3 linked regions of the Daphnia pulex genome follow. The protein of the gene in region 1 binds, or shares a complex with, the protein of each later gene. Links are inferred from orthologs where the notes say so. Each region holds a gene or a part of one and is shown in the gene's direction. Other genes may lie near its edges.

Evidence for each region.
Region 2: the proteins of origin recognition complex subunit 3-like (region 1) and origin recognition complex subunit 5-like are in contact, whole or in part, in a crystal structure (PDB 4XGC), measured with the Drosophila melanogaster proteins. The link is inferred for Daphnia pulex from reciprocal best matches to the Drosophila melanogaster genes Orc3 and Orc5. Residues at the interface, in NP_476904.1 of Drosophila melanogaster: Ile105, Gln107, Leu140, Lys141, Val144, Cys183, Thr184, Met185, Lys186, Gln187, Glu213, Cys214, Asp222, Leu225, Ile226, His230, Ala243, Thr244, His250, Tyr255, Ser258, Ser259, Arg262, Leu263, Ala270, Pro272, His302, Ile303, Leu305, Tyr306; in NP_477132.1 of Drosophila melanogaster: Ile72, Glu73, Tyr75, Ile79, Glu82, Asp86, Asp94, Arg130, Tyr291, Met292, Arg293, Ile294, Glu295, Leu319, Glu320, Leu321, Pro322, Tyr323, Tyr324, Ala325, Asp383, Leu386, Ala387, Tyr390, Val397, Leu399, Thr400, Cys401, Asn402, Leu403.
Region 3: the proteins of origin recognition complex subunit 3-like (region 1) and origin recognition complex subunit 4-like are in contact, whole or in part, in a crystal structure (PDB 4XGC), measured with the Drosophila melanogaster proteins. The link is inferred for Daphnia pulex from reciprocal best matches to the Drosophila melanogaster genes Orc3 and Orc4. Residues at the interface, in NP_476904.1 of Drosophila melanogaster: Ala217, His250, Gly251, Leu253, Pro254, Tyr255, His256; in NP_477320.1 of Drosophila melanogaster: Lys395, Glu398, His399, Ile402, Lys419, Lys422.

The regions. Positions count from the first base shown.
Region 1 is NC_060027.1:422,741-427,156, reverse strand, and holds the start of origin recognition complex subunit 3-like, read left to right. Parts: upstream 1-1,611; 5' UTR 1,612-1,668; coding exon 1,669-1,695; intron 1,696-1,761; coding exon 1,762-1,956; intron 1,957-2,028; coding exon 2,029-2,152; intron 2,153-2,218; coding exon 2,219-2,564; intron 2,565-2,626; coding exon 2,627-2,969; intron 2,970-3,032; coding exon 3,033-3,179; intron 3,180-3,235; coding exon 3,236-3,631; intron 3,632-3,689; coding exon 3,690-3,849; intron 3,850-3,910; coding exon 3,911-4,155; intron 4,156-4,186; exon of another isoform or gene 4,187-4,219; coding exon 4,220-4,363; coding exon of another isoform or gene 4,364-4,416. Other genes in the region: cryptochrome-1-like, read left to right, coding at 35-163, 240-425, 485-625, 708-859, 924-1,021, 1,089-1,181, 1,241-1,326; uncharacterized protein LOC124207230, read right to left, coding at 4,360-4,416.
Region 2 is NC_060025.1:8,384,340-8,388,059, forward strand, and holds origin recognition complex subunit 5-like, read left to right. Parts: upstream 1-1,255; 5' UTR 1,256-1,300; coding exon 1,301-1,390; intron 1,391-1,461; coding exon 1,462-1,897; intron 1,898-1,957; coding exon 1,958-2,520; intron 2,521-2,622; coding exon 2,623-2,738; intron 2,739-2,870; coding exon 2,871-2,919; 3' UTR 2,920-2,933; exon of another isoform or gene 2,934-3,026; 3' UTR 3,027-3,106; downstream 3,107-3,720. Other genes in the region: dnaJ homolog subfamily C member 25 homolog, read right to left, coding at 1-668, 738-849; plastin-1-like, read left to right, coding at 3,605-3,697. UniProt on the Drosophila melanogaster protein: Component of the origin recognition complex (ORC) that binds origins of replication. DNA-binding is ATP-dependent, however specific DNA sequences that define origins of replication have not been identified so far.
Region 3 is NC_060020.1:1,002,359-1,006,426, forward strand, and holds origin recognition complex subunit 4-like, read left to right. Parts: upstream 1-1,427; 5' UTR 1,428-1,484; coding exon 1,485-1,679; intron 1,680-1,739; coding exon 1,740-1,865; intron 1,866-1,939; coding exon 1,940-1,988; intron 1,989-2,058; coding exon 2,059-2,210; intron 2,211-2,291; coding exon 2,292-2,594; intron 2,595-2,698; coding exon 2,699-2,833; intron 2,834-2,956; coding exon 2,957-3,106; intron 3,107-3,196; coding exon 3,197-3,361; 3' UTR 3,362-3,486; downstream 3,487-4,068. Other genes in the region: uncharacterized protein LOC124192631, read right to left, coding at 3,601-4,068.

The DNA.
Region 1 (4,416 bases):
ACATTAACAGAAATTAAATTATTCATTTGTCAAGGATTGGGTGTGCAAATTTAGTAAACCGGACACGTCACCCAACAGCATTGAACCATCAACCACTGTGTTGAGCCCTTACCTCAAATTTGGCTGCTTGTCACCCCGCTTAATGTATCATCGTCTTCACGAGGTAAACAGCATAAATCTACTTTTCTTTTTATTGCTTAATGCCCGTGTTTGGTCCTAATAAATTCGTCTATTCAAAGATCATTGACGGTCGTAAACACACGAGTCCGCCGACATCGCTGACGGGTCAGATGCTTTGGCGAGAGTTTTACTACACTTGCGGGGCATACACTCCCAACTTTGATCGAATGATTGGGAATCCCGTGTGCAAACAAATTCCCTGGAAAGTTGACCCAGAAGACGAGCACTTTGTCGCTTGGAAAAATGTAAGTTTCTTTCTAATTTCAGAAAATTTAACCGGGTAACATTTGGATACTTTTTACAGGGCAGAACTGGATATCCTTTTATCGATGCCATCATGATACAATTACGAACTGAAGGTTGGATTCATCACTTGGCCCGTCACGCAGTTGCGTGTTTCCTAACGCGCGGAGATCTATGGGTCTCTTGGGAACTTGGCCAACAGGTACTATGTTATTCATTAAATGCAACGCTTTATTGTTATTTATCTTATTACCTTTTTTAAGTAAATTGTGTACACTTTTAAGGTTTTTGAAGAACTATTGCTTGATGCTGACTGGGCATTGAACGCTGGGAACTGGATGTGGCTCTCTGCTTCAGCTTTTTTTCACAGCTATTTTCGAGTTTATAGCCCCGTAGCTTTTGGCAAGAAGACTGATAAACACGGCGATTACATCAAGTAAACAGTTTTCCGAATCAAAATTCATTATACACTCAATTACTCATTCTATTGAAATTTACAGGAAGTATTTGCCGATTTTGAAGAAATTCCCAACAGAGTACATTTACGAGCCGTGGAAAGCTCCTCTGAGTGTCCAAAAAACAGCGGGATGTATTATTGGTAATTATGGATAAGTCATAAAATACTTGTTATAAAAAATTAAGTGTTTCAAAAATGATCGAAATAGGAAAAGACTATCCGAAGCGAATAGTTGACCATGATATTGTAATGAAGGAGAATTTAGCTAAGATGAAGAAGGCATATCAAGGCAAAGAAGAAGGTATGAGCATGACTGTTTAAAAACAAAACGAAAAGTCATTATAATTATGTATTTTCTAGCACCCGAAGGCGAGCCAGTCAAAAGAAAGAAAAGCGTTTCTAATGAATCCCCACCTAAAATTACAAAATTCTTTAAAAAGAATTAATTGTAGTTCCACTTCTCATCAACGACAACTTTCTGATGTGTCGTTAAAATGTACTATTTTTGAAATCTCAAAATTCAGAGTGCAAAATCTAAAAAAACAACAGTGCGTGTTATAAAATCAAATGTGTGGGTCTATGTTATTTAATATACACCATCAAATTGATTGGAATGGATGACATTTCATTTGCAATTTTGACTTGTTTATTTCATTCATTCATAAACAAGATGTCGCTTCGCGCGCTTTTAAAAATGTTTTTTTTAATTACTGCCAGATGGCGTTAAGCAGGATTTCAGCGCCAAATCGAACTATGGCGGCAACAACATCGTGCAACTTTATCTGAAAATGGCCACAACATCATCTTTCTCAAAGGTATTGTGTTAATCACAGCATTAATTAAATCGTTATTTATGTTAAGCTCTATTTCTTTTTCACTAGGGTTGTTTTGTATTCAAAGCAAATCCACAAAAATCGGGTCGAAGTCCAAGAAAGAAGACTAAAAAGTCTGCTATTGTAGATACAAATGATGATCTCAATGCTTCATCTTTATTTGCCAAAAGTGATAAGTCGTCTATGGAAATAAGGCTAGATTCCTACAAGAAAATATGGTCTGCCACTAAAAAGAAAAGCGAGGTCTGATAAGCTGGGTGTTTGGTATTGACTATTGAACATAACGAAGTGATGCTGATGATCTCTTCTTTGCAGGAAATCATTTCAGATAGCCACAAACAACTTCTGCATGATGTCAAAACTTTTGTTAGTGAAAATGCTGGTACTGGACAGAGCAGCATACCTACTGCTTTAATTTCTTTGGGAGTTAATCTTCCAGGTAAAACTAGTTGGTGTGTTGGTTATTGGAATTAAAGATAATTTTCATTGCTATTGCAATTCGCAGATCATGCTGCCTTTTTCAGTCTACTGGATACTACTTTGAAGACCAATGTATCTCCGTTTGTGGCTATGTTAAACTCAAAAGAATGCCCTTCTCTGAAAAACATGGTGCTGAAAACAATTCAGAAACTAACGAGCTGTGACTCAATAGATGATGAGGTTGAAAAAGATGAAGAAGATGATGAAGATGATGTAATTGTACCCATTAAACCAAGGTCTAAAGTTAAGACATTCGCGAATCTTGCGACGTGGTATTCAAATGTCGTAATGAAAACACCACTGATCATAATCCTCCAAGATCTCGAATCTTTTGGTACTCAGCAATTGCAGGATTTTGTACTACTCTGCAGGTAACCATTCTCAAACTACATTTTCCTTTCATATCAACTATGTTTTGTTTTTTTCTTATTAGAGAAAACCGAGTCCGGAATAAGCTACCCATTCAATTTATCATGGGTATTGCAACGACAGTAGCCCTTCAGCAGCAACTTCACCACCGAACCTCCGTTTGCCTAGCGACCAAATCATTCCAGTCACGACCTTCTGTTGTCCTGCTGAACCATCTCATAGAACAGCTTTTTATGAAGAGCAGCGTTTTAAAACTCGGGCCCAGGTTGATGCAACTTCTACTGGATGGATTTCTTTATCACGACTTGTCGCTAAACAGTTTCATGATGCGCGTTCACCTTATAATCATGCAGCACTACATCACTCTTCCAGTCTCGTCCCTGTGCTGTTCCGTCAGTGAACTAAAAGTACAATAATTTTTTTTTCACACTAATATCTTATTCTATATTTAATTATTTCGGATATTTTAGAATAGAATTAAGCAACTAAACGTAACAGATTTAGATCTTTATCGTCAGCTTCCGTCGTTTATGAAATTTATCGAAAAAAATCGATCCAAAATTTCACTCCTGACTGACGACAAAGAATTCCGGTTGTTTCTGCAAAAATCGTTAGAGGTAAATTGTTAATGCACTGATATTTCGTGAGTGTTGATACTGAATTTCTATTTTAGGCGCTGAACACTTACTCCAAGAACTTTTCGCTAAGCTGTCGAATTATCCATTCTCTGAGTGACGGCATGCCTGATGCGCTGTTTGGCAAAAGTTTGCGTGAAGTATACGTGAATTTGTTGATCGGTGGTGAATCTGAAGACTGGGAGCAATTTCTCCGATTGTTGAACGTTTCGTCGGCGCACGAACTTCGAACCAGAATCGAAGCTGCATTGACTACTTTGAAAGAGTGCGACTCGTCTGGCTCTTTGTCGGATTTCTCCACTAGTCTCGTCCTCTTTTCAGAAGAACTTTTACGTTTGGAAGAATCTAAAAAATCCGACGCCGTTTCCAGCCCTAAAAGTCAAAATGTATTCGTACCTCAAGGCAAAAAACTGGACAAGTTTGAATTGAAAGCAGTAAGTGCATTTAGTCCTCCTCATTTAAAGCACACAAAATCTAACTGTATTTCTAAAGCAATTGATGGCCACGGCGAAGCAAGTTCGGACTACCTCAGAATTCGACGAAGTAAAATCCGAGATCATAACCTGGCTGAATTCGGAGTTGGCAAGTCGTCTGAAATCTCCTTCAACCTTAGTTTTTCATGAAATTTTCTATGCTGGAAGTCAAGTTCAAAGTACGTTTACTTAATTTGTTTTGTCTGTTTGTACGGAAATCTTGATCGCATTTCATTTTAGGCAATTGGGATATCGTTCCATGGATGCGGCGTCAGGTCCAACCGGTTCCTAGGGTAGCCATAAGTAAGGCTCTCTCGAATCCGGCTTCTTACCTTGGTTGCAGTTGCTGTTCTTTAACCGGACAAGAAACGCAAGTTCTCTCTTCCATGCCGGATCTTTGTATCGTTTACAAATTGCATACCGAGTGCGGTCGCTTGATCAATCTTTACGACTGGATGTTATCCTTCAACGCTATTCAGAAAAAGGTTAGAAATAATTTTTTGTTTCCCAAAATATTACAAAGACGAATTGTATTCAAATTTTAAACAGGACGATGAAGACGACAATGAAGAAATTGAGCCAATCATTCAAGCACGTTTTATTCGAGCGGTTGCGCAGCTGCAGCTACTCGGATTCATCCAGTCGTCAAAACGAAAGACGGATCACGTTGCACGCTTGACCTGGGGAGTCTAAGCATTAAGTGCTGACTTGGTATGCTTCAAATCTTTCCTGAAAAGGTACTTAGT
Region 2 (3,720 bases), on another chromosome or scaffold:
ATACAACTTTTCTTCTTCACCGTACTCTTCTTTTCGGATGTCAAACTTGTAGACCCAGATAATGTACCAACGGACGTACTGGTAGATGGTGTAGGGCAGAATGATGAGCTGGAACCACAGTATTTGCTTCCAGTCTGGTTTAGAATAGCCTCCGCGAATATCCATTTTCTCTTCGATGACTTTTCGAATAATTTGCTCCTTTTCCTCCTTCTCTTTGGACTTGTCTTTGACTTTCTTGCTGGTATTTTCATTGAACAAGCCTTCTTTCTTGGCAATTTCAAGTGCATGTATCCTGTATTTTTGCACAGTGGTCAAATACTTTATGGCAGTATCATAGCGTTCCCAGGCAGTGTAGTACTGGATCCCAGAAATGATGGTGACACACACAGCAAGAATCAATCTGATGTCGACATTTGGAGCTGTACGCCGTCTGTAATATCTGTAGTAATGCATGTACATTTCTTCTGGATTGTCAACCATGTAGTCATAATCTTCTCTGGAGGCATTATCACTCAGAATTTCATAGGCAGTGGCTATTCTACGAAAATTCTTCTCAGCTTCTTCTTTAGTCACCTCAGGCCCTTGCACATCAGGATGGTACTTCTTTGCAAGAACTCGATAAGCCTTTCCTATAGCACTCCTAGAGCTCTCTCTCGTCACACCAAGCACTAAAATTAAAAAAAAAGAGAAAGCGTTATTACTGAACGTTTTAAAATTAGGTTAACGAAATAGCTCACCATCGTAACAGTTCTCGACTCCACAGTAGAGTCCTTCAATCAAGGAATGGACATATGAGACGTTCAAAAAAACGCAGAAGGTAACAATAAATAGATATGATTTCATTTTCATTATTTTATAAAACAATTATTCCTAATACGATCGATCCACAGTCAAAGTTACAATTTTTTGCAGTTTATCCAACAAGTAGCATAGCGGCACATGCCATTGAGCAAACTGACCCAACTGAACAAACTGTAAAAGTGACAGGAATAGCAGACTACGACACACATTCCTGTCAGCCAACAAGTTCCACGTAATAATAACGGGACAAAAATTGAGATGAAAGCTTACTTACGTAACATTAAGTTTATTATTATCAAATTTATTAAAAAAATTTTAGCAAGACAAAATTTTGCTAGAAAAGTTTCAGTAATTTCATTAAAAATTAGAAATTGGTTTCATTTTTCTGAATATGAATCTGGCAATGTCTACGTTTCATTTCTCCCGCTACGAATTCGCCACTTCTGTTATCTTGATTTTTAAGTTTCTTTTGGCGAGTGAAAGAGCTACGAGAAAAACAATGGAAATAAATTCCATAAAAGAGAATCTAAAAGCTGAAATACCTCATCGAGAACAACAAATTGAAATCTTGGCGGATATCCTTCAAAGCGTGAGACTTGTTATGATTCTTGGGATGTTTACGTCAAATATTTATGAGAACGTGATTGAATTTATTTGCAGAATGCCCTTCCACCTTTCCTGTATGTATATGGCCACACGTCAACCGGAAAATCGTTAGTAGTCCAACGAGTGATTGAATCTGTGGAACATGTTCAGTATGCAGCAATTCACTGCATTGAATGCCTCAGTCCACGCTTTCTCTATGAATCTGTCCTTGAACAGCTGGGAAGTCAAGAACGATGTGACAATGCCAATGAATTTGCCAGATACCTCAAGCAGCTTGGTGATACCAGACCGATTTGTATTGTACTTGATAAGGCCGAAAGGATGCGAGACTTGAGTGATGGAATGATCATCCCAACACTGACCAAAATCCCAGAGTTTACAGGTCTCAACATTTGCATCATCTTCATTTCAGAAATCCCCTTTGAGAAGTTTCGGTGTGGCACTGGAAGTCTCGATCCCATACAGATATTTTTCCCCCAGTATAGCAAAGGTATTTATTGATTCAATTGTAAACACAACATCTTAATCAACCATTTCTCAAATTTTGTAGAAGAAATTCTGGATCTACTGATGAAGGAATGCCGACAACCTGAACATTCATCTCTTTACCAGACATATCTTTCCATGATATTGGGTGTCTTCCTGGTGGCTTGTCGCGATTTCTGCGAACTTCGCTACATAGCCGCGCAGCATTGGGAAGCCTTTATGGAGCCCATCCATTCGGGCGAAATCGACAAAACTCAATCAGTGAAATTATGGCGACATCTTGAACCGAAACTTCGCTCCAGTCTGAACCAAGTTTACGTCCGAGGTCCTGATGCATGCGGGACCCAAATAGGCCTGAAAATGGAGCTTCCATTCTTCTCCAAGTTCCTTATCATCGCTGCCTATCTGGCGAGTTACAATCCGCCCCGTTACGATCGTCGTTTATTCGTCAAAGCCAAAGAAGGCAGGAAGAAGAAAGACAAAGGTCTCAAGTCATTGAAGAAGCAAAAGTTGCACAACGCCGCCCGTTTGATGGGACCCAAAGTCTTCCCCATCGATCGATTGATGGCCATTTTCTATTCGATCGTTGAGGAACGAGTTACGCCGTCCCTAAATATATTTGTGCAGGTCTGAGCTCTTTTTTTTTTCCTTGTTGTTGTTAATCGCGTTATTTTTTGGCCAATTATTTACGTTCGAGATTGTGACGCCTCTTCGTTGTTCGACACACAGATTTCTACTTTGGTTTCCCTAAAGCTCATCACACACACGGGATCAGCGGCCATGTTTCAAGGAGTTCCGAAATACCGGTGCAATGCCGGTTACGATCTAGTCAGAAGTTTAGCCAGGTAAACATTTAAATTTAAATAGATTACCTCCGAGTTCAACCGTTAATCTAGTCCATGTTTTACGATACCAAAAGATTAAACTACTTGACACGATTACAATAATAAATGCTCACAAATTTCTTTTGATTACAGGACGGTGAATTTCGAGCTGGGACGTTACCTCTACGACACAACTGTTTGATCTTGCTTTAAATTGTAGGCAGTATATTATTTCCCTCACTTGATAACAAAAGAAGAGAATTAGCCTTGTATTATATTTATTAAAATTTTTCTTTTTTTTTCTTCAAGTTTTCTTTATAAACCCGTGTCCCCGCCCCCTACATCCTCGAGTAAGAGATAACAAACAAGTACACACCTCATTTCTTAAACTTTTCTTTTTTTTTGAAACTCTTAACCGAGTGTCGGAATGATGAAGTAATCAAATTACAACCCAGAAAAAGATAAGAAAGGCGACGTTTTTCAATTATATATAAATGTGTTCATGACTAAGACGATTTCTGACCGACGTCTGTTCACAAAAAAAAACCCTTTATCATATTAGACCACATATGGTCATAAGAGTCTCTGTAATTCGGTGAAGCGATATCAAGTTGATTCCCCCCCTAAGCGGATACTATTTACCGTCGTGTGTGTGTAAAAGGCGTTGTTTGATTTCTAATCGCCCCAACAAAAAATATATAGCAGCTGATAAGGCACATGTATAAGAGCTACGTCGAGGGCGGGGTCACAGAGGGGGGAAGGAAATGAAAAGTGGGAAGGGCCAAGCCGCAAACGTTTTTTTGAAAAAAGACCCCGCTTGGGGCTTTTAAATAAACCGGCGAGCACACGACGGCAACAGTGCCTTGCCAGACGTCAAGCCAAGTAAGATGGCGCTACACCAGTGGAATGGAGCTGCTTCTTCGAATATACGTAAATTTTCCGAAGAAGAACGACAAGAACTTCGTGAACAGTTTGCCAGCGTGAGTGTGGATATTATTACCGT
Region 3 (4,068 bases), on another chromosome or scaffold:
AAGGTGCGAGATTTTGTGTCGATTAGCACAAAAATTGCTAAATCTTTGATGTTATTCATTTTAGTATACTTTAACGACTGGCCAACGCCCTGATCAGGGCGGAGCAATAATTTGAATCGCCCCAAGGTAGCAAATATTTGTTGCGTTGTAACATTTTTTTGCATCCGCGATCTCATTTACAAAACCTGGGAATTCTTTTCTTACATATGTCAAGAAGAAAAAAAATGCGGTTGCACCAACAGCATATTTTTGTATCAACCTATTTATACGAAGAAATTCTATCTCAGGACTCAGGTTCACCAATAACCAAAAATGGGATCTTTCAAGTGGCAGAAATAAATGTGACTTTAATCTTGTTCTACTTTGCGCGCAAATAATTAATTTGCGATTTTTCAGCAGACTGACAGAAACGCACCCATAAGGAATGTGGCAGCTCAGCCATTCTACAGAAAAAAAAGAAATAATTTACTTTGTTTTTCCCGTCGGCATTTACGTCACCAATTTATCAACTGATCGAACCATATACGATCACGTTTCACCGGCATACAGTCACTGCTGAATACACAATCCAGGATTTAGTGACAGGAGCATCTGTGACTTTATGGTTATCCAAATTAAATGGAAAAATGATGCAACTTGATTTGGTCATAACACGGACCTTGAAACTAGTTATGCAGAGAAAAGACAACGGCTCCACCCAAATCGGAAATCACCTACTGTTCGAACGGTACCTCGATTGTCCTTTTCACATTCCATACCAAATATGAAGTTTTCGATCATCAAAGTGTTTGTTTTCTAGTTCTTTTGCCTACCAGGAAATCTGTGTAACAACTCAAAATAATTTTATCTTCAGGATAACAAGCTAAGTCAAACAAGTAACACTCCACAGGCTGGCTCAACTTTTTTTTTCTTAGTGCAAGTTGTGCCAAATATTTTGTCAATTTACCACTCACCGCGGGCGTGGAGAGCGGAGACCTTAATTATTTTGTACCTTAATCCCCCTGCTGCGGTTCACTCATTTATCATATGGGCCAAATTAGATACCTAAGTATACATTCGGTGTCTTAATCACTTATACATATGATTCACCAATTTCAGAAATAAGCTAAACTATGAGATATCGATCAGATACGATTTTACGTACAATACACAAGCCTTCGAATATAATCTGTGGAACCGATGGGCAAGACGGTTTAAAAGATTTAAAACCAACTGCGTTAACAAAGTATTTCATATGCGTATATACATACAGTTCACGTCACACGAAAATGCTATGAATAACTGACTTGTTTGTTTTTTTGTGTGAGTTTGGTTTTCTTGTGATTTGTTAAGTAATTTGAAAATCTAGAGAGATTACATTGTGCTGCCACCTTGTAACAACAAACAAACATATTTTGACAGCACAATGTTTATGTGTCAGTTTGCGCGCCCTTTTTCAGTCAAACATCGTCTGCACGATTCAAAATCCAGTACGTGATACGATAATGGCATCTTGCACTGATATTTGTCGTAATATTCTATTAGAACGAATGGTTTTTAACAATCATTCTAGTATTTCAGTTCCTGATGAATTTTTAGAACACAAGAATTACGTTTTTAATTTACTTAAAAGCACGGTGCAAAATGGAGAAAACAATTCAGCTCTCCTAATTGGACCGAGAGGAAGTGGGAAAACCTTGGTAAGCACCTATACTCCTTTTAAATGATTGATGCAGCTTAATAATTTGTTAAATTTGTAGTTGATCAACAGTGTGCTGGCTGAACTGGAAGCTGTCTGTGACTTTGAGAAAGATTATGTTGTCATTAAGTTGCATGGCTTCTTCCAAACTGATGATCGGATAGCCATTCAAGAAATCACTCGCCAAGTAACTTTCTTTCAGTTTTGTTTGTAATGACCCTCCTGACAATTTTTTAAATTTATTGTGACATCTCTTTTTAGCTATTTTTAGAGGAGGAAGCAGCTGGCAGAGCATTTGGCTCATTTTCAGGTAAATTGTAACAGTTTAGATTTTTGCTTCTTTTATAAAGGTTATTTGAATATTTCCCTTTTTCTTCTAGAGAATCTAAATTTTCTTCTGAATTCCTTGAAGATGGCTGACAGGAAAAAAGCAAAATCCATCATTTTTATAATGGACGAATTTGATCAGTTTTGTCAGCATAAAAATCAAACTTTATTATACAATCTATTTGATGTTTGCCAATCTGCTCAAGTATAAAGCTTCATTCGCATATTCTCTCTTTCCTCACTTTTCAACATTTACAATAACATAATCTCATCTTATCGCATTTAGGCGCCAATGGCTGTCATTGGATTGACATGTAGAATGGATGCCATTTCTTTGTTTGAAAAGAGAGTGAGGTCTAGGTTCTCTCATCGACAAATTTATTTGTTTGTGAAACCTGATTTCACGAGATACACGGAAACGTTTGTCAATTTACTTCAGTTGGTGCGTGCTCCTCCCGGATTAAAACCCATATACGTTCGCAGCTGGGACAAGTCTATTAAGGATCTTGCACAAGATCCATTAGTCGAAGGCACACTCAAGAAACTATTCAACCTCAATCCGAAACTCCGTCTTCTGCAAAACATATTGGTACTTATTATTATCGTGTAGATAGCAGCCTGCACTTGACTGTTATCAGAATAAGGAACGCCAATAACGTACCCGTATTATTCTTGAATTTTACGCACTTAAAGCTGGTGGCAGTATGTCGCCTGGGCAAGAATCATCCTTTCCTCTCATCCAAGGACATTGTCAGCGCCATCGAGTCTCAAACTACGGATTGCAAAACATTACAACTCCAGGGCTTATCTGTCCTCGAACTGCAGTTGGTGAGTATAGTAAAAGAGAAATTTCGCATATTGCCTAGCTAAGCATCATAAAATGAAAACGTTTTTATTTTGGCCAACTTGTATACATTATATTGATTCCTCCTTGAACTCGTTCATTTATAGTTACTCTGCATGAAATACTTGGATAAAATTTACTTTGGTGAACCTTGCAATTACGAAATGGCCTTTTACGAGTATACCAAGCAAATGAAAAGCAGTTCGATGCAGAAATTCGACCGGCAAATCGCGATGAAGGCAATGGAACACCTCGAGGTAAATAACAAAAAAAGTTTGCCCAGCTTTTTAACGTAATAATTTGATGGCGGAAAATGAACAACATGCTACTTAATTTTCCTTTTGTAGACTTTGGAGCTGATCCGGCCCGTTGAGGGGGTTTCTTGCTCGAAGGTTCAGAAAGAATTTGTTGTTTACCATATTCTCATCACGTCAGAGCAGTTAACAGCTGCTCTCTCCAAGTATCCCAATCTTCCCACCGAAGTGAAACAGTTGGCAGACACGTGCCTCTGAGAAAACATTCCAATGCCACGGCATGATGCGTAATAAAGTTCTCCCAAGTCCATTGTGTTTTTCAAGGTGTATCATTTGTGAATCTGCCGAGACAAGAGAAAACAGAAATAAAAGCCAAACACACACGCGCAAGTACAGTTACAGTATATTAATATACAATGGCACTGCTCCATACAACACACAGCACGGTAAATAGTGAAATAATATTATAGATTAGGTAACTTATGGTGATTTTTATTTTACACATTGACGGCCCTCATAACGGAATCGTTGTCTTCCGATTCCGAATCCATCTGAGTCGACTCCACTTCCATTTCCGTGGGGATAGTTCCGTGAAACTGGCTGGTCAGAATGGCCACTTCTTCGTCGGGCGAGAGGGTGCGCGGTTTCTTCTCGTCGAAATCCAAGTTGGTGACGTTTTCGTAGACTTCTCCTTCGGCGAAACGGGCATCGCTGACGTTGCTGCTGCCGCCAGACGGCACAACGGCCGCTCGACGATAAGGAACGAATGAACAGGTATCGGCGGTCATGTCTGGCTGACCTGGCGGCACCCAGTGCGACGACTGCTGGCCGTTGGTGTTGGTGCAGTTGATGAACTTGGGCACGACGATGGGCGAGAACATTTTCTCCTTGCTGACAGTGTCAGCGCTGTGTCGCGATCGTGGCTGCCCTCCAGCTCCAGCCAAGTGGACACCGGGTGGGGGCCG